Macaca mulatta: one gene and its partners. The protein of the gene in region 1 interacts with the protein of each later gene in a pairwise test. Links are inferred from orthologs where the notes say so. Each region holds a gene or a part of one and is shown on either strand. Other genes may lie near its edges.

Region 1 (6,196 bases):
ACTCCTGACCTCAGGTGATCTGCCTGTCTCAGCCTCCCAAAGTGCTGGGATTACAGGTGTGAGCCACCAAACCTGGCCTCTTTTTTTTCTTTTTTAATTTATTTCTTGCTTGAGAAAGAAAAATCATTTTCTACTCAGGTTTTAGATGTAGAATAAAAAGTTAAGGAATAAGGAGAAGGTAGAGGACCAAGATAATTTCGGAAGTGTTGGATGGTTCTAGAAACTGAAATAGCCTTGACAAAACCAAGACAAATAATTAGCATAAATAAAAGTTTTATTGGTCAGTTTGGGTGAGTGACAAACTGACATGCCCCCAATTCACTATTCCACATATCCAAGCCCCTGAGGTGGCAAGAGGAGAAGCTAAGCTTATTAATGGTGGGCAATGGGTGAAAGGTGGAAAGGACTTTGAAGGCCTCTGAGGGTTAACAAGGCTACCGGGACCGGAACCAACGTCCTAGGAATAAGTCCAGGATGGAGAAGGCATCATCCAGGGCTGGAGGTCTTGGTGATTCTGGATCTAAGGAAGAAAGTCATACACACAAATAGGCTAAATGAAAGAGACCAGGCAGAAGCAAAGGAGAGAAATAATATTCAAGGGTAGAAGAGTAAGAGTTCCCTTCCCCAAGGAATCTTGAGATGAACCCCTTTGTCTTTTAACTTACCACCCCTAGGACTGCTCTCTGCTTCGTGTCGGGTTACTGTAGTCTCTGTCCGGCCCTCACTGTCCACCACAGTCCGGCGCTCCTCCACTATCTACAAGGAGAAGTCCCCACCATATTCCTCACATCACTAACGATAACGCTCAGCAGTTTCTAACGATAACGCTCAGCAGTTTCTTTACAGAGATCCCTGTTTCTTTACAGAGATTCCTGTTTCAGGGCATTCATTCCCTGGCCACAATTTCCTTTACCTCTTTCTTTCAACTCACCCCATCTGGTTTAGTGATCTTGGTTACAGAGATGCTCTTGAAATAGGATTTGGGCTGGGGCTGTAGAACCGGGCCAAGACCCTCCTGGGAAACCTGGGAATCAAGATCTGGAAGAGCAGAGAGATGAAGAAGCAGGAAAGAAAGAGTCCAAGGAAAAAAGAAGACAAGTGTACAGGAAGAAACTTCAGGGAGGGAAAATGGACAGAACTTCAGAAGAATAACAAAAGGCTGATAAACTTCCCCTTCCTCCAGACTTACCATTGTCCTCTCTGGTTCTAGGATGGGGGTCCACAGGCCATATGTCATCAAACTGCAGAAGAAACCATAGTAAGTGAAAAGACATCTTCTAATCTGAAATTTGAAAGGTCATAGACCTCAAACTAATCCTGAGCTCCAAAACCCACTGCCCCGGGGGAGATAATTCCATTCAGAATAGCTTTATTTATACACTCCTTCCTCCTTCCTGGCTGTTTTATGTATCCTTCTACCAGAAAGACTTCCTGAACTGATATATGTCTATACTTTGTGCACAATCCTGCCTTATCCAAGAATTATCTAGACCAGTGGTGGTTTATTGTTTTTTTTTTTTTTTTTAAGAAACAGAACACCCATCTCCCCCCCCCAAAGAAAATCCCACAAGCTTAATAGAGAAAACAGAAAACACTAAATGGAGGGCTTAGGATTCCAGCCCAAGGCTGTCAGATTCAAACAAGAATTGCAATCTTTGGCCAGGCATGTTGGCTCACACCTGTAATTCCAGCACTTTGGGAGGCCAAGGTGGGTGGACCACCTGAGGTCAGGAGCTCGAAAGCAGCCTGGCCAATATGGTGAAACACCGCCTTTACTAAAAATACAAAAATTAGTCGGGCGTTTGGCAGGTGACTGTAATCCCAGCTACTCAGGAGGCTGAGGTAGGAGAATCACTTGAATCTGGGAATTGGAGGTTGCAGTGAGCTGAGATTGTGCCACTACACCACAGCCTGGGTAACAGAGCAAGGCTGGGTCTCAAAAAAAAAAAAGTGCAATCTTTGTACTTTTTTTTTTTTTTTTTTGACATGAGTCTCCACCTCCTGGGTTCAACCAATTCTCCTGCCTCAGCCTCCCGAGTAGCTGGGATTACAGGTGCCCGCCACCACGCCCGGCTAATTTTCTGTATTTTTAGTAGAGACATGGTTTCACCATGTTGACCAGGCTAGTCTCGAACTCCTGACCTCAGGTGATCCACCCTCGGTCTCCCAAAGTGTTGGGATTACAGGCGTTAGCCACCGCGCCTGGCCAGTCTTTGCACTTTATTAGTGGTCTCTCACAAGCTCTCACTTTAGGACCCGATGGGATACTCACACTATGAAATGGTCTCTGGGAGCCCCAGTCTGGTGCTGGTTTGGGGGATTCACTTCTTCCATCACTCTCCAAGACCCCCCCAAAGATCCTGGGCTGGTGACTATCTGGATACTTAAGCATTGAGTCCCGAAGTGTCTGTCCCTCCCGCAGTCTCTCACCAGGTGTCTCTGACTCAGGACCTGGGAGTTCTGCAGAAAGGTGGCAGGTGTTTGCTGGGGTGGGAAAGGACTTGGGCTCTATAAATCTCCCTGAAATCATCAGTCTTCTCACACTTCCCATCCCCCAGCTACTCCCTGCAGGCTCTTTATTTCACCCACCAACCCACTAGAAACCGCAGGTTGTCCCTCAGGGAAAGCCACACACCAGGAGGATGGGAAGGCAAGGTCCAGGCCCCCATATCGCTGAAGATGCTATTGAAATCTCGTACTAGGTCATCAAAGCCGAAGTTATCGTGGAAACGTATCCCTCCTCCTGGGCTGAAGCTGAAGCCGAAGCCAAATTCCTCAGGGGGGTGCTGAGGACTATGGAACCTTGGGTTCCCACGGCCCCATGAACCCCCTTCTTCCTCTTCTTCCTCATCATCATCTTCATCTCGAGTCATCCCTCCAAAAAAGGGATCTCTGTGGCTGAGAGTGGAGGCAGATTGGCCACCAAGATGTCAGCACGATTTAAGCCATAAAATCAACTCATGGGTGGCAAAGTGGGACAAGAGCAAGTGGTCTGGGAAGCTGGGGAGAGGGTCGGAGGACTGGTTGCCGCATCAAAACATTAATACAATGGCTGACAGTTCTTTCTTTCTTTCTTTCTTTTTTTTTTTTTTTTTTTTATCAAAGTCAGACCTCAGCTCGCAGCTCCCTTCTTACACCTTCCCCCAGAGTCCCTCCCCTCTCTCCCAAGGTCCTGCTCACTTGCTCACTGTCCTATTCTCCCGACCCCCATTGTCTTCCCCGCCCGGGTCCCTGTTGCATCACCCCAGGTTGGAGAAAGGCTTAGTTTGCTGTTTCTCCTCTTAACGACCGCCTTGGTTACTGTGGCGGGGTGAGTATTCAATGTTGCGACTTCTGTCCTCTCTACAGGAGTTGAAGGAGTGGGACAGAGGATGTTTTTCCAAAAAATAAGACGTAGGGGTCAAGCTCCCCTCAGACGACCCCCACCCTTGTCCAAGCCGGACCTACTCTCACCTCCGAGGTCCAGGAAAGCCGAAAAAGCCCCGGAAGAGATCAAAGAGGCTCATTCCCGTATTGGGACGCGAACCTTTGAACCCCTCCAGTGGTCCATTCGCAGAAGGGGCAAACCTGCGCAGCCCTGTGGGAAATTGAGCGAGGCGTCAGCCCACGCTACCGGAAAGCAAGCCCGCGATCCTGACACTGTCGTAAACGACTGTAAGCCGGACATGCAAGGGAGGCGGGACGGAAAGTCTTCCTCAAATTTGAAAGGCTTTATCTTTACCCCACCTTTTAGAGACCAGTTTCCGTGACGGGAGTGAGCGTGACGCACTTTCAGTTTCCTATGACCGCCTTCCTCCTAAACCTGTTCTTCTTTCTGGAGACAACTCAGTCCGAAAAGCGATTTCGAGGGTTTGACTCTGGATGGCACCCGCATAAAGCCGCCAGAGGGCAGCCCAGCCGCACAGATGAACCGGCTTGAGGGCATCCCTCAACCTCCCCACCCCCGGGGCTGGCCAGCCTAACAGCAGAAGCCACCTCGCCTCTTACTCGGGCGTTCCTTTTGACTGACCTGGGTGACGTCTGCTGTTAGAGGGATGAACAAATGAACAAAATGCTTTTCCAAGCTCTTTCTAGTATTGAATTCCCCAGAGATCAAGACATGAGACGCATGGACTTAACTTCCTCCACCTCTCTAGCTACTAGGGAGTTTGTTATAACCATATAGGATTCTTTTATCTAAGCAGGCTCTGCAACCAGCAAGACAAAGGATTTGTAAGGGAAGGGAAACTAGTTGTGTCCTGAGAAGGAACAAATTGGGGACGATAAAGAAGTATCCCTTTGGTATCTTTTTTTTTTTGAGACAAATTTTTCTCCCATGTCTCCCAGGCTGGAGTGCAGTGGCACCATCTGGGCTCACTGCAACCTTCGCCTCCCAGGTTCTCTCCTGCCTCAGCCTCCTGAGTAGCTGGGATTACAGTCATATGCCACCCTGCCCGGCTACTTTTGTATTTTTTGTAGAGACGGGGTTTCACCATGTTGACCAGGCTGGTCTCGAACTCCCGACCTCAGGTGATCTGCCCACCTTGGCCTCCCAAAGCGACTGGCTTCATTTTGTGCCTATCCGAAACCTGTCTCTCCCTGTACCCCATCCCCAAGCCAGACTTGGCTCTAGATTCTTTTTCAAAGAATTGGGTATAGCTATGTCACAGAAAAGCACCCAAGAAGCAACTACTACAGTAGTCCATTCCTAGGGGGAATGTGCCCCAAGGTTTTGGTTTTTTTATTTCGTTTTTGGGGTACAGGTGGTGTTTGGTTACATGGATGAGTTCTTTAGTGATTTCTGCGACTTTAGTGCACCCATCACCCGAGCAGTGTACACTGTACCCAGTATGTAGTCTTTTATCCGTCACCCTACTCCAAGATTTAGTTCTGTCAGACGATACATGTTGCCTTCACTTCTTTTTAGTTTATTTACCTGGACCCATTTAAGTCATAACTTAAAACTCTTTAAAGCCATTTTTTTCCTTTGAAATGGTCTCAGCTCCTTCTTGATCCTCTCCATTTTCCACCCAATCTCCTCTATCCCTCTCCCTTTACTGCCTGAAATCGGCTGTAGATGTAGCAGTTTCTGGAGGAAATGAAGATTTGTGGTGGTTCTTTCCAGTCAACAGGTTGTGAAAGTCTTAGGGGTGAAGGGAAGGAAATCCCCTCAAGGACAAGATACTACTACCACATTAAGGTCAGGAGTTCTTAAAGGGCGAAGATTTCATTTTATTCCACTGCCTTCAGGGGCCTGCTAGAGGAGGCCCCGTTGGTACAGTAATACTTATTCACCAAGCTGGTCATCGACGAAATTGAGGATGTCCTAGACGGAGCAAGAATAGGCAGAGGCTGAAGGTAGAGGTTTTCTTTTTATATATACAAGACACATTAATCCATTAAATTTGAGGACACAGTACAAAAAAAAAAAAAAAAAAAAAAAAAAACACTTCAACTAATTCATCTGACAATGCTGTTCATATTCATGACGCCATTTTTTTTTTGTTTGTTGTTGTTGTTTTCCTAATAATAAAGGAGGAGACTTAGGGCTGTTGGGCTGATATATATTTGGGGGTCCCACCTCCCCACCTCATCCGTACACCACCAGGGTGAACAGGAGGAAGCAAAGGAAGGGCAGGGCCCATAGCAAAGTTTCATAATCTTGAATGCAAGAGGGGAGAAGGAATGGAAGGGGGGAAAAAAAAGGAGAAAATACAAATCCTATAATACATACAACAGGGTGGGGATGGTATAGGAATGGGACAGACATGAAGCTGAGGCATGGGGTGGGCCGCTGGGGGTGGGGGGCAGCGGAAACCCCCCACATTCCTTTCTCTTTGATGTTGTTTCCATAGTTTCCAGGCTGAGAAGCCCTCTCAGAAGATGGGACCGGGAGAAGAGGGTCAGGGCCTCAGTTGGCCCCCCAGCTGTAGCTGTTGTAGGCAGACTTGTTGGTCTGGGGCTTCTGCGGGATGGAGCTGGTCTGGCTACGTTGCCCGCTGCCCGTCTGCAGGGGAATGGGAGGATGATGGGGAGGAAAAAGGTGTCTAGTTAGTGGTACAAATTTGTAACATCTTCAGGTGGAGATGTGCAAACTGTCTTGCTCTCCCATTCCCCTCACTACTATTAGAACCATAGAAAATTTAGTCTGCATAGCTGCTAAAGCCCCTTTCTTACAAGCAGGAAGGCATTTTTGACTTTTAAATAGGGAAAAGAT
Region 2 (6,040 bases), on another chromosome or scaffold:
GAATATAATCTGAGGCAAAACACTTAATTTTTCTCGTTCCTTTTTGATGTTGATGAGGTGAGCCCAGGTAATCTCAGAATTCTTTTTCAACTATAAAATTCTAGGATTCTTTCCTCCACACGTGAAAGGTGTCCCGTATTTCAGGCTCTGGGAAAACTCGCAGTGAGAAGAGTTGCCTTGATTAACAAGGTACTAATATCCTTTTGCCCTTCTCTGGGGTAAGCCTTGGGCAGAAACCTGGCACTTCTTTGGCTCCCCCTTCCCCCTTCAGCTCCTGCCTTCACACTCTGATGTGTAAAAAAAACCCCATTGTGTTTTCACTTAAGTTTCATCACTCTTTCTTCTCCCTGCACACTATCAATGCTTTAGGACTTGTCCTTATTTCTGAACCACAGGAACAAGTAACTGTTTTTCTAATGTTTCTCTCAGAGTACACTCTGCTTCTAGTGAGTTCCAATTCTGTTTCTTAAGATTTTCGTACCCATGGGAGTGACTGATAGTCTCACACTCCATATTCAATGTCAGCAAATTTGGCGGGCTTTCTTTAAAATATGTCTAAAATGTGTCCACTTATCTCCACCTATTATTACCTGGGTCCAAGCCAGCAATAACTTCTGACTGATCTCCCTGCTTTTGCCCTTATCTCCATTGTCTACTCCCCACCCAGCACCCAAAGCAGTCCTATGAAAACATTAACTCAGATCATGTCACTCTTCTGCTCAAAGTAACACTCCTTACAATGGCCTACAAAGCCCAAGGTGCAGTGGCTATTGTTACTCTCTAACTGCATTCCCCATTCGTCTCCCCCTCTTTTCCAGTAGTAAACCCTCTTACTGTTCCTCCAATCTGCCAGGAACATGGCCACTTGCAGTGACTTTGCACTTGCTGTTCTTTCTGCCTGGAATACTGTTCCTCCAGATAGCTGCATGGCCAGTTTCCTCATTCTGTCACTTAACTCCAATGTCACCTTCTCCTGAGCCTTCTCTGGTCCCTCTATCACCCTCTCTAAAATTGCGAGTACTCTCTTATTTTCACTTCATCACTTACCACTATCTAACATAGTATGTTTTGCTTATTTTTCGTCATTTTTTTCTTTCCCATGACAGTAGGAATTTTTGTCTGTTTTGCTTATGGCTATATCACAAACACCTAGCACAGTGCCTAGCACAGTGGGTGATGAGTATTTATTGCTAAATGAATGAATTGGGGGAGATCTGCATCAAGGGAACATATGGAGACAGACCCTAGATTAAATGTCTCATTTGTTTGCTCATGGTAAAACAAAATTTGACCATCTTTTTAATGTTATGTGGTAAAAAAAATTCCATGTCTTTTGTTGTGACATGTCTTAGATCTCTTGTGAGATGTTTTAGATCTCAGGGAAAGCATTCTTCATTATTAAAGCCTGAATTTGGTCACTAGGGGATGAATCCAATCTTATTTTCCAAATGTTATCCTGTACATATGGCAGTTTTGCTAAGTTATATAGAAGGAAGTAGAGTCTATTATTTTAGATAGAAAATTCCCGGTCCCGACTTGCAGTGGTCAAAGTCCTCAAAATTCTAAGATCGTAACACATAACGTCAGGAGGAAATACGTGGCTATTAATCATACTAATGATAATGATGCAATAAAATAATTGTAATATGCTAACACCAAATGTATCTCAAAAAGAGGTACTGGAAATTCCATCTTGCATTCTTCCGTTTTTTCCTGTTATTAGAAAAACGCACTCCCTGATACTCAGTAGAGGATCAACTTATTTCTAGTTAACCAGCATGAACGCTTCCAGCAGAATAGATGGTATGATATAGCACTACCCTGGGGGTCATGGTTAGCATTCCACATTTTTTACGGAACTGAATTCACCAGCCTTGGAAACACTAAGAAGAACACCCGTCTTGGGAGAAGGGAGTCACTGCCTCCATTAGAAATCTTGGGAGGACACAAAAACAACAAAAAAAAAACTGTCGTGGAGAGTGGCTTCACGACTTGCGCATGCGACGAGCTCCCGGTCTCAGCGAGGCAGGGTTCGTCCTTCATCTTCTCAGTCGGCAGGACCTGCTTCTCGCTGAGGATGAGCGAGGACAGCCGCGGCTCGGTGGGACCCGCCCGTTAGCCGAGAGCCCCCGCACCCGAGTCCCGCCCCGGAGCCGCGCCGGGACTGTGGTGGGGGAGGGGCGGCGGTGGCCCGCGCTGCGTCGAGCTTCCCAGAATTCCCAGCGGCCGCGGGGAAAGTTTACGGGATGTAGGCGGCGGCGGCGGTAGTGGTAGCGGTTGCCCGGCGGCCCGCGGCGAACCATGGCCCTGGCCTGGCGTCGCTGGGCTTTTCTCACGGCGTCCCCGAGCAGCGTCGCAGAGCGGGCCGACTTCCGGGAAGGAACTGACCAGCGACTGAGCGGCGGCCGGCGCGCTTAGCGCCCTGAACATGCGGCAGTCCCTGCAGGCAACCCCGGGCTCCGGACAGGCGGCGGCGGAGGCGGCGGCTCAGGAGGGAAGGAGGCGCCGGCGCCGGCGGAGGTGGCGGCGGAGACGGCCGGCGCCCGGCGCGGAGCCCTAGGGAGGCAGCTCAGCGCGGCCTCGGGCCTCGTCGAGAAGGATGCTGTCCCGAAAGAAAACCAAAAACGAAGTGTCCAAGCCGGCCGAGGTGCAGGGGAAGTACGTGAAGAAGGAGACGTCGCCTCTGCTTCGGAGTGAGTGTCAGGCGGGGCGCGCCCACACCTGGCCCAGGCGGCCGGGGGCTGCGGGGACCTGGGCGGGGGCGCCGGCGGGTCCCCAGGGCTTCTCCTTCGTCGCTGGTCGCTGTGAAATACTGGTTTTGAGATTTTCTTGTGCCTGAAGTGGTATTCGTTGATTGAAAGCCCGTAAGACTAAGAAACTTGGGTTAGTCCCCCCGCGCCTAACCGCGCCAAGAGCACCCCCTAAAAATAACAGACTTCCTCACCCCGCCTGGCAGAGAGTTGTTGGTTTTGAGTACTGGAAGAGAGACTAGAAAACACTTAAATTGTTTATAACCTAATGAGTAATTAGACAGGGACACTTTTTACTCTTCTGGGTGCGTCGAGATGTGCCTCATGTTTGCAAACATTGTTGGTGTCTCTCGACCGTGCTGCAAGTTGTGCAAACTCTGGGGCAGAATTCCTTAGTCCTGCTGCCGGATGCAGACTTGAGAAGGTGAAAAGCACACCATAGTTCTTGTGGCTGCCACCCAAAGCACATCCCAGAGCAGAGAGCCAAAAGCCTTTGTATTTGGCTATATTCGTGAGATTCCAAAAAGGCAACTCAAAATTATTTCTATCGTGTTAGAGAAATTCCACCGTCCCCCGCCCCACCCCCGGAAAAGTGTTTTTTTTTTGATAGGGTATATCCCACCCTCAACCCCCACCTCCGATCCCCCGCTACTTTTCTTCTTAATTTAAGTATTTGATTTTTGAGTTGAATCTCTTGGATTTTTAATTATTGTGTGTTCAGGACATTTGTGAGGCATGGAGCTGGTATTTTGGTGCTTATACTGCGCCCCGGGCCCTTTGCGTAAGTTTCCTTCTTGGAAGCTGGTAGTAACCTTGTGACTTAAGTATTACCTCATACTGTAATTGGGAATGCTAGGTTTCTAGTGTTTGCCCAAGATCACACAGATGGGAGAGCATGTTCTCCATTATAACCACATTGTCAGCCTTCCAGATTTATAGTAGTACTTGCAATACTTTCAACAAAATATATGTCAGTTGAGCATGTCAGTAACTGGAAACTTGATTTTTAAGTTTTTTTTTTAAACTTGATTTTCAGTTACACATGCTGTTAGGTTTTTGGCTGTTTTTAAGTGATAGCTTGCTGTTTGCTACAAATAAAGTTTATCAAACATTACTTGAAATCGTGAATCATGTTTGTCACACTTTTTTTATTATTATACTTTAAGTTCTGGGGTACATATGCAGAACATGCAGTTTTATTCATGTTTGTCACAATTAAGCAAATAACTTTTGATATACTTTGTGTTGTTGTCGTTACATCAAGTGTTGAGCCTTATTTATTCGGATATTTGTTTCTGTCCAGTGTTAGTTTCTGAAGCTTATTAATATGAGTGTCTCCAATATTGTTTACTTAATGAATAATAAGAGGGTCTCCATATTCAGGTTTTTTCTTGTTTTAAAGGTATTTGCTTTCTAACTAGAAATGTCTTAAGCTGTTTTCAAGTTTCGTGTTTAAAAGTACAGTATCCTAAAAGCCATTGTTCTATTGTCTACTATTTTGAATTATAATTACATAGTTTCAGGCTTGGTTTTTTTGAGCCAATTCAACATTTGTGTGCCTCTTTGAAATGAGAGCTTTTTATTTTCAATTTTCATACGTAAATTTTTGGCTTTCTAGCTTTTGATTACTGTGCTAGTGCTAGGTAATTCCAAGAGAAGAAAGAGCTACTAATTTTTTAATCTTTAAAGGAATCCACTTTTACATACTTGGGAGTAGCATTAAGTTCTATTTTATTTTTGAAATTGTGTTTGCTTCAAGAAGGATTTTTGGCAGTTTCTAAAATGAAGTGAGAACAACAAAATAAACTACTAGCTTAATTAACTAGAAACTATCAGTTTGTTAGATTGTTTCCTATTATTCATTAATTCATGACCATGTCATTAATGTGTAGTTCACAGATAAGATTATTGGCATTTTATCATATTATGTATGGTAGTATGCAGAATACATTTCATTCTAGCTGAGCTTTTACACATAGCATATTAATGCAAGTTATATAAATTCATTTGATTGGGAAAATATTAACCTTCTTCAGTTTAAAATGCCCAAGTACCATCCTAAACCAAAATTTAAAATTGTGTTTTAAGTTGACATTTGATTTTGGGGTGGTAGATGTAAATGAACAACTTTCGAAAACTTTTGTTACTTACTGATGAAAGGGTAATTTTATCCTTTGTTTTATTATAGATCTTATGCCTTCTTTCATCCGGCATGGTCCAACAATTCCAAGACGAACTGATATCTGTCTTCCAGATTCAAGCCCTAATGCCTTTTCAACTTCTGGAGATGGAGTAGTTTCAAGAAACCAGAGTTTCCTTAGAACTCCAATTCAGAGAACACCTCATGAAATAATGAGAAGAGAAAGCAACAGATTATCTGCACCTTCTTATCTTGCCAGAAGTCTAGCAGATGTCCCTAGGGAGTATGGTTCTTCTCAGTCGTTTGTAACGGAAGTTAGTTTTGCTGTTGAAAATGGAGACTCTGGTTCCCGATATTATTATTCAGACAATTTTTTTGATGGTCAGAGAAAGCGGCCACTTGGAGATCGTGCACATGAAGAGTACAGATATTATGAATACAACCATGATCTCTTCCAAAGAATGCCACAGAATCAGGGGAGGCATGCTTCAGGTAGCTTAACATTATAAATAATATAGTAGTTTATTGACATGTCAATTAAAAAGATGTTCTTTTCTAGATTTTCTTGGGACGCGAACAAATACTACTAGCGAAATTTTTTCCACTTTGCTAGTTCTGCTTAAGCCTGTGTGCAAATAGTTGTTAATCTACACTGAATGGAAGAGTCCTTGTGTCCATTTATTTTATTAACTCCTGTTATATAAACCTGGTACTTATCTCAAGGCTGTCTAGACTCTTAATCCTGTGTGTGACCCTTGAAAACCTAGAGAATTTAATGTCTCCAGTTGGTCTGAATTTAGGTTTAGGTTTGGTAGAATAATGGGAAGGGTGAGTCTTCAGAGACACTTGACAAACTTGGGAAAGGAAAGCAGAATAGGAACAACTGGGCATGCTCAGTGAGACCCTGAGCAACCGCATTACTTCACTAGATCCTGCACTTTTTCTCTGAACAAAAAGTAGTTTAAGAATTATTTCCTGAGTTGATCAGAAAGACTTGTCACATGGTTAATTGTGTGTTGAGCACGTCTTTATTCTTTTTGTAACAGACAAAAAATATTACCATTTAATTTAGGAAAAGAAGGTGCTTTCCGTATCTCCTGACTTGGAAATACTTCTGAAAGGAGCAGAAGAGATTGGAGAAATGTACAGT
Region 3 (6,370 bases), on another chromosome or scaffold:
AGAGGGAGAGGAGGTATTTCAATCCCTTCCCCCATCCCCTGTTTTTTGTTGTTGTTTTTTTTTAACAAGGATCCTAGAGTTACTGAATGATAGCATGTTCAAGGGGAAAAGACCCTAAGGATGATCTTTTTCAGTCAACACTTGGTGTTGGTGGTGATAAGAGACTCGAGCATCTTTATGCAGTAGAAAGAGAAGACTGGACTCGAAATCAGAAGCTTGACTTCAAGCACTGGTTTCATCAGTCTTGTGGTCTTGGGTTGGTCACTTCACCTATTCAAGGATCCTCAGCTATGAAAGAGGACAGTGTCAGCTAACTCTTGTAGGTGCAGTGAGGAGGCAGCGAGATAGTGCAGGTAAACTAGAAAACAATTGCCACATGAAAGGCATCACAGTGGTTCTTTAGACTCATAAGCTCCAATCTTATAAAACATACCCAGTCACCTACCAACATAGAACATCTCACCTTGCATATCTGATTTTGTGGATCATGGGAAAAAACTGCTGATTCCTAGCAAAACCCATGGCATAGAATAAGTGCACAATAATTTTTTTTTCTTCCTAAATGATTTAGATGACAGTGACTCATTAAGGGTTTCTTGAGGCCTCCTCAGAGTCGAGAGGTGAGTGCCTGAAGCCACCCAACGTCCCTGTCACAGGATGGCTCCCAACACACACACACCACAGGCCTGCCCAGTATGTTCCACTATCCCTTCCCTAGAAGAGGTAACTTTTGTTCACAGTCCCAGAAAAGCAGGCTCCCCAAAACAATGCAAGGACCCACCTCTCTCTGAACCTCACCCACCCTAGTTTTCCTTTAAAAATCAATTGACAAGACAATCATGTGAAGGAAAATGTTGGGTGATATTCTAACCCAAGTTCGCTGCTTCTCAACCAAGTTCTCCTTAAGAAATTCAACAACCACATTTGGGGAATTCTCTACAACAGAGGAGTGAGGATGGGACCAGGATGGGTATTGCCTATGTGGGTGGAACCAGGGTTTTTTCCTGGATTACCAAAGAGATGGTATGCATTGCTCCCAGAAGCTAAATATCTTCAGGCTTTCAATGGTGGCCTTCACCTGAAAATGTTATCCCTGTTGAAGCTTTCGAGCCAATATTTTCATAAGAACTATATTTTCTTTGGTGAACTAAGGCATTATAATGATGACTATACAGGTTCTTGAGTGACTGAAGCCATCATTAGCATTGTTATTATTTTTGTTTAGTTGCATCTCCATAGCAGCTCACATTCACAATGTGCTTTGCAATTGTTCCTTAGCAATAGCCCTCACAAGATTCTCAGGAGGAGAGGGGGTAATCAGGATTAACATTTCTGTGTTGCCTAAGGAGGAACCAAGGTAAGCAGAAATGTAGCCAGTTGGCTGACATCACTGTTCCTTCAGGATTTATCCTTAGACACCCAAGCTTCTACCCTAGTCTGGTGCTACACTTACATTGCTTACATCCAAGTGTGGTTATTTCTGTGGCTCTTGTTATAACTATTATAGCACCAGGTACATGACCAGGAGAATTAGACTGGCATTAAATCAGAAAAAGAGATTTTGCACCTGAAATAGACCTTATGACATCTAACCAATCCTATTATTTATAATTAAACAGGAACAGAGGGAATACTTTATCCAACTCACACAAGCCGCTTTCCTCCCAGATCCACACTTTTTTGCTTTTCTATACCATGTTTTAGTGCCTTGCCTCTTTTTTTTTTCTCTCCCTCTTCTACCTTGTTCTTCCATCCATTTCCTTTGTTTGTTTGTTTGTTTATTTTTTTTTTAGAGATGGGGGCTTCACTACGTTGCCCACACTGGACTCGAACTCTGAGCCTCAAGTGATCGTCCTGCCTCAGCCTCCTGAACAGCTGGCACTACAGGGGCATGCCACCACACCTAGTTCATTTCCTTTATTTAAAATATTTATGGCTTAAACTCCACCTGGGAACATCCATTTGCTAAGAGTCTGGTGTTCTGCCACCTGAACTAGGCTGGCCACGGGAATTATAAAAGCTGAGAAATTCTTTAATAATAGTAACCAGGCAACACCATTGAAGTCTCAGATGTAAAAATCCATGCCTTCCTTTCTCCCAATCTCCATTCCCAAACTTAGCCACTGGCTTCTGGCTGAGGCCTTAGGCATACCTCTAGGGGCTTTCACACACCTTCTTCTACAGAAGACACACCTTGGGCGTATCCTACAGAAGACCAGGCTTCTCTCGGGTCCTCGGTAGAGGGCTACTTTACTGTAACAGGGTCAGGGTGGAGAGTTCTGTCCCGAAGCTCTGTCCCCTCTCCAGGAAATGTGTTGACAATATTCAGAGGAGTAAGAGGGTCAAGACTTCTTTGTGGTCAAATATCACTTTTCTCTTCTCTACCCTGACCTAACCAGGAGCTTGTCACCCCATACTCTGAAGTGATTTATGCCTTAATCAAGCAAACTTCCCTCTTCAGAAAAGATGGCTCATTTTCCCTCAAAAGTTGCCAGAAGCTGCCAAGTATTCTGCCAATTCACATTCAACCTGGAGCACAACCAACAGATTCAGCCGGAACACAACTCCAGCTACTATTAGAACTATTATTATTCATGAATTCCTCTCCAAATCTAGCCCCTTGGCTTCTGATTTCAGGATTTCTCCCTTCCTCCTAGAAACTTGATAAGTTTCCTGCACTTCCCTTTTTCTAAGACTACACGTTTGTCATCTTATAAAGCAAAGCAGTGAATAAAGGAACCAAGTCAATAACTTCTGGAATATCTGCAAACAACAATAATATCAGCTATGCCATCTTTCATTATTTTAGCCAGTATCAAGTTGAATGAACGTAGAAAAATACAAAACTGAATTCTTCCCTGTAAATTCCCCGTTTTGACGACGTACTTGTAGCCACGCCTACTTAAGACAATTACAAAAGGCGAAGAAGACTGACTCAGGCTTAAGCTGCCAGCCAGAGAGGGAGTCATTTCATTGGCGTTTGAGTCAGCAAAGGTATTGTCCTCACATCTCTGGCTATTAAAGTATTTTCTGTTGTTGTTTTTCTCTTTGGCTGTTTTCTCTCACATTGCCTTCTCTAAAGCTACAGCCTCTCCTTTCTTTTCTTGTCCCTCCCCGGTTTGGTATGTGACCTAGAATTACAGTCAGATTTTAGAAAATTATTCTCTCATTTTTCTGATAAGGACCGATTCGTTTTACTGAGAGATGGCAGAATTAGCTTCCTGTGAGGGCATGGGGTGAATACAACTGAGGCTTCTCATGGGAGGGAATCTCTACTACCCAAAATTATTGGGAGAAAATTGAACATTTCCAAGTCTGTCTCTCCCTTACCTCTGTGTAAGGGAAACACCTTATTCTTGTGGTGTTTCTGTAACCTCTTCAAACTTTCATTGATTGAATGCCTGTTCTGTGCAATACATTAGGTTGGGCACATAAGGAATAACAATATAAATAAAACATTCTAAAAGAAGTTTACGATCTAATAAAGGAGACAGGTACATAGCAAACTAATTCAAAGGAGCTAGCAGATGGAGAAAATGCTGAATGTGGACTAAGTCATTCAACAAAGTTTTCAAGAAGCACAAAGAGGAGGGGCTCCCCTCACAGGTATCCGGGTTAGAGGCTGGCTGAGCTGACCGTGGCTGGTGTTCTCTGTTGCAGAAGTCAAGATGGCCAAAGTTCCGGACATGTTTGAAGACCTGAAGAACTGTTACAGGTAAGGAATAAGATTTATCTCTTGTGATTTAATGAAGGTTTCAAGGCTCACCAGAATCCAGCTAGGCGTAACAGTGACCAGCATGGGGCCAGGCCGGCAGAGGCTGGAGGAATGTGTACTAGTTCTGAAGTCAGAGCAGGTTCAGAGAAGACCCAGAAAGACTAAGCATTCAGCATGTTAAACTGAGATTACATTGGCAGGGAGACCGCCATTTTAGAAAAGTTATTTTTGAGGTCTGCTGAGTCCTACATGAATTTCAGCATCAACTCAGACACAGCCTCTGTTGAGATCACATACCCTGATATAAGAATGGGTTTTACTGGTCCATTCTCAGGAAAACTTGGTCTCCTTCAGGAATAGGAAATGACTCCACAGCAAGCTGGGCATGTGAACGCAGATACGCAGGCAAATCTCACTCATATGTAGAAGAAAGGTAAATGAACACAAAGATAAAATTACAGAACATATTAAACTAACATGATGTTTCCATTATCAGTAGTCAATACTAATGCAAACTAGGCTGTCAAAATTTTGCCTGGATATTTTACTAAGTATAAATTATGAAATCTGTTTTAGTGAATACATGAAAGCAATGTGTAACATATAATCTATTTGGTTAAAATAAAAATGAAGTGCTTCAAAACCTTTCTTTTCTCTTAAGGAGCTTAACATTCTTCCCTGAACTTCAATTAAAGCTCTTTAATTTGTTAGCCAGGTCTAATTTTTATAGATAAAGCACAGGTAAAGCTCAAAGCCTCTCTTGATGACTACTAATTCCATATTAGTAAGGTATGAATTACTCTACCTATGTGTATGTGTAGAAGTCCTTAAATTTCAAAGATGACAGTAATGGCCGTGTGTATGTGTGTGACCCACAACTACCGTGGTCATTAAAACACGTTGGCCAGAGACCAAAGTGAAATAACAAACAATTACATTCTCATCATCTTATTTGGCAGTGAAAATGAAGAAGACAGTTCCTCCATTGACCATCTGTCTCTGAATCAGGTAAGCAAATGACTGTAATTCTCATGGGGCTGCTATTCTTACACAGTAGTTTCTTCATCAAAAGAGAACAGCAATGACTTGAATCTTAAATGCTTTTGTTTTACCCTCACTAGACGTCCAGAGACCTGTCTTTCATTGTAAGAGAGACCAGCTGCCTTATAAAGTTGATGTGCATTGGCTTCTCCCAGAACAGAGCAGAATTATCCCAAATCCCTGAGAACTGGAGTCTCCTGGGGCAGGCTTCATCAGGATGTTAGTTATGCCATCCTGAGACAGGCCCCGCAGACCGCTTCACCAGGGGTCTGTCTCCTAACATGATGTGTTGTGGTTGCCCTCTCTGACACCAGCATCAGAGGTTAGAGAAAGTCTCCAAACATGAAGCTGGGGGAGAGGAAGCAAGCCAATTGAAAGTGAGAAATCTACAGCCACTCACCAAGCTGTGTCATTGTGTTTGGAGACCACAAATAGACAGTATAAGTACTGCCTGGTATGTCTTTGGTACTGGCTTTAAAAGCTGTCCCCAAAGGAGTATTTCTAAAATATTTTGAGCATTGTTAAGTAGATTTTTAGCCTCCTGAGAGGGAAGTAATTGGAAAGCTACCACTCACTACAATCATTGTTAACCTATTTAGTTACAGCATCTCATTTTTGAGCATGCAAATATATGAAAAAGTCTTCCTAAAAAATCATCTTTTTACCTTGGAAGGAGAAAGGAAGGTGAGACAAAAGGGAGAGAGGGAGGGAAGCCTAATGAAACATGAGTTACCTAAGACCAGAATGGAGATCCTCCTCACTACATCTGTTGAATACAGCACTACTGAAAGGACTTTCATTCCCTGACCACGAACAGCCTCTCAGTTTCTGTTTTCCTTCCTCTAGAAATCCTTCTATGATGTAAGCTATGGCCCACTCCATGAAGGCTGCATGGATCAGTCTGTGTCTCTGAGTATCTCTGAAATCTCTAAAACATCCAAGCTGACCTTCAAGCAGAGCATGGTGGTAGTATCAACCAATGGGAAGGTTCTGAAGAAAAGACGGTTGAGTTTAAGCCAGTCCATCACTGATAATAACCTGGAGGCCATCGCCAACGACTCAGAGGAAGGTAAGGGGTCAAGCACAATAATATCTTTGTTTCACAGTTATAAGTAAGTAGGGACAATAGAATTTAGGGGAAAATTAAACCTGGAGTCAGAATAACAAGAAGACAACCAAGCATTAGTCTGGTAACTACATAGAAAGAAAATTAATTTTTATCCTTCTCCAGGAGGGAGAGATGAGCAGTGGCCTGAATTGAGAATACTTGCTCACAGTCATTATTTCTTGGCCATACTGTAAAGGTCATGCGACTTTTAGCCTTTCAGGAGAAAGCAGTAACAAGACCACTTACAAGCTATGTTCCTCTCATACTAACTATGCCTCCTTGGGCACGTTACATAATCTTTCGGTGATTCAGTTTCCTCCACTGTAAAATGGAAATAATCAGAATCCCCCACTCATTGGATTGTTGTAAAGATTAAGAGTCTCAGGCTTTACAGACTGAGCTAGCTGGGCCCCCCTGACTGTTATAAAGATTAAATGAGTCAACATTCCCTAACTTCTGGACTAGAATAATGTCTGGTACATAGTAAGAACCCAATAAATGTTAGC

The links.
Region 2: the proteins of HAX1 (region 1) and SAV1 interact in binary tests that used the Homo sapiens proteins (3 or more experiments, as listed by UniProt). The link is inferred for Macaca mulatta from reciprocal best matches to the Homo sapiens genes HAX1 and SAV1.
Region 3: the proteins of HAX1 (region 1) and IL1A interact in binary tests that used the Homo sapiens proteins (3 or more experiments, as listed by UniProt). The link is inferred for Macaca mulatta from reciprocal best matches to the Homo sapiens genes HAX1 and IL1A.

Annotation. Positions count from the first base shown.
Region 1 is NC_133406.1:112,746,442-112,752,637, forward strand, and holds HAX1 (HCLS1-associated protein X-1), read right to left. Parts: upstream 3,576-6,196; 5' UTR 3,507-3,575; coding exon 3,454-3,506; intron 2,899-3,453; coding exon 2,636-2,898; intron 2,485-2,635; coding exon of another isoform or gene 2,461-2,484; coding exon 2,273-2,460; intron 1,242-2,272; coding exon 1,190-1,241; intron 1,039-1,189; coding exon 932-1,038; intron 757-931; coding exon 666-756; intron 521-665; coding exon 435-520; 3' UTR 275-434; downstream 1-274. Other genes in the region: UBAP2L (ubiquitin-associated protein 2-like), read right to left, coding at 5,891-5,986. UniProt on the Homo sapiens protein: Recruits the Arp2/3 complex to the cell cortex and regulates reorganization of the cortical actin cytoskeleton via its interaction with KCNC3 and the Arp2/3 complex. Slows down the rate of inactivation of KCNC3 channels. Promotes GNA13-mediated cell migration.
Region 2 is NC_133412.1:123,899,498-123,905,537, reverse strand, and holds the start of SAV1 (protein salvador homolog 1), read left to right. Parts: upstream 1-2,472; 5' UTR 2,473-2,599; coding exon 2,600-2,693; intron 2,694-4,938; coding exon 4,939-5,382; intron 5,383-6,040. UniProt on the Homo sapiens protein: Regulator of STK3/MST2 and STK4/MST1 in the Hippo signaling pathway which plays a pivotal role in organ size control and tumor suppression by restricting proliferation and promoting apoptosis.
Region 3 is NC_133418.1:22,866,887-22,873,256, reverse strand, and holds the start of IL1A (interleukin-1 alpha), read left to right. Parts: upstream 1-2,896; 5' UTR 2,897-2,994; intron 2,995-3,660; 5' UTR 3,661-3,668; coding exon 3,669-3,715; intron 3,716-4,674; coding exon 4,675-4,723; intron 4,724-5,602; coding exon 5,603-5,825; intron 5,826-6,370. UniProt on the Homo sapiens protein: Cytokine constitutively present intracellularly in nearly all resting non-hematopoietic cells that plays an important role in inflammation and bridges the innate and adaptive immune systems.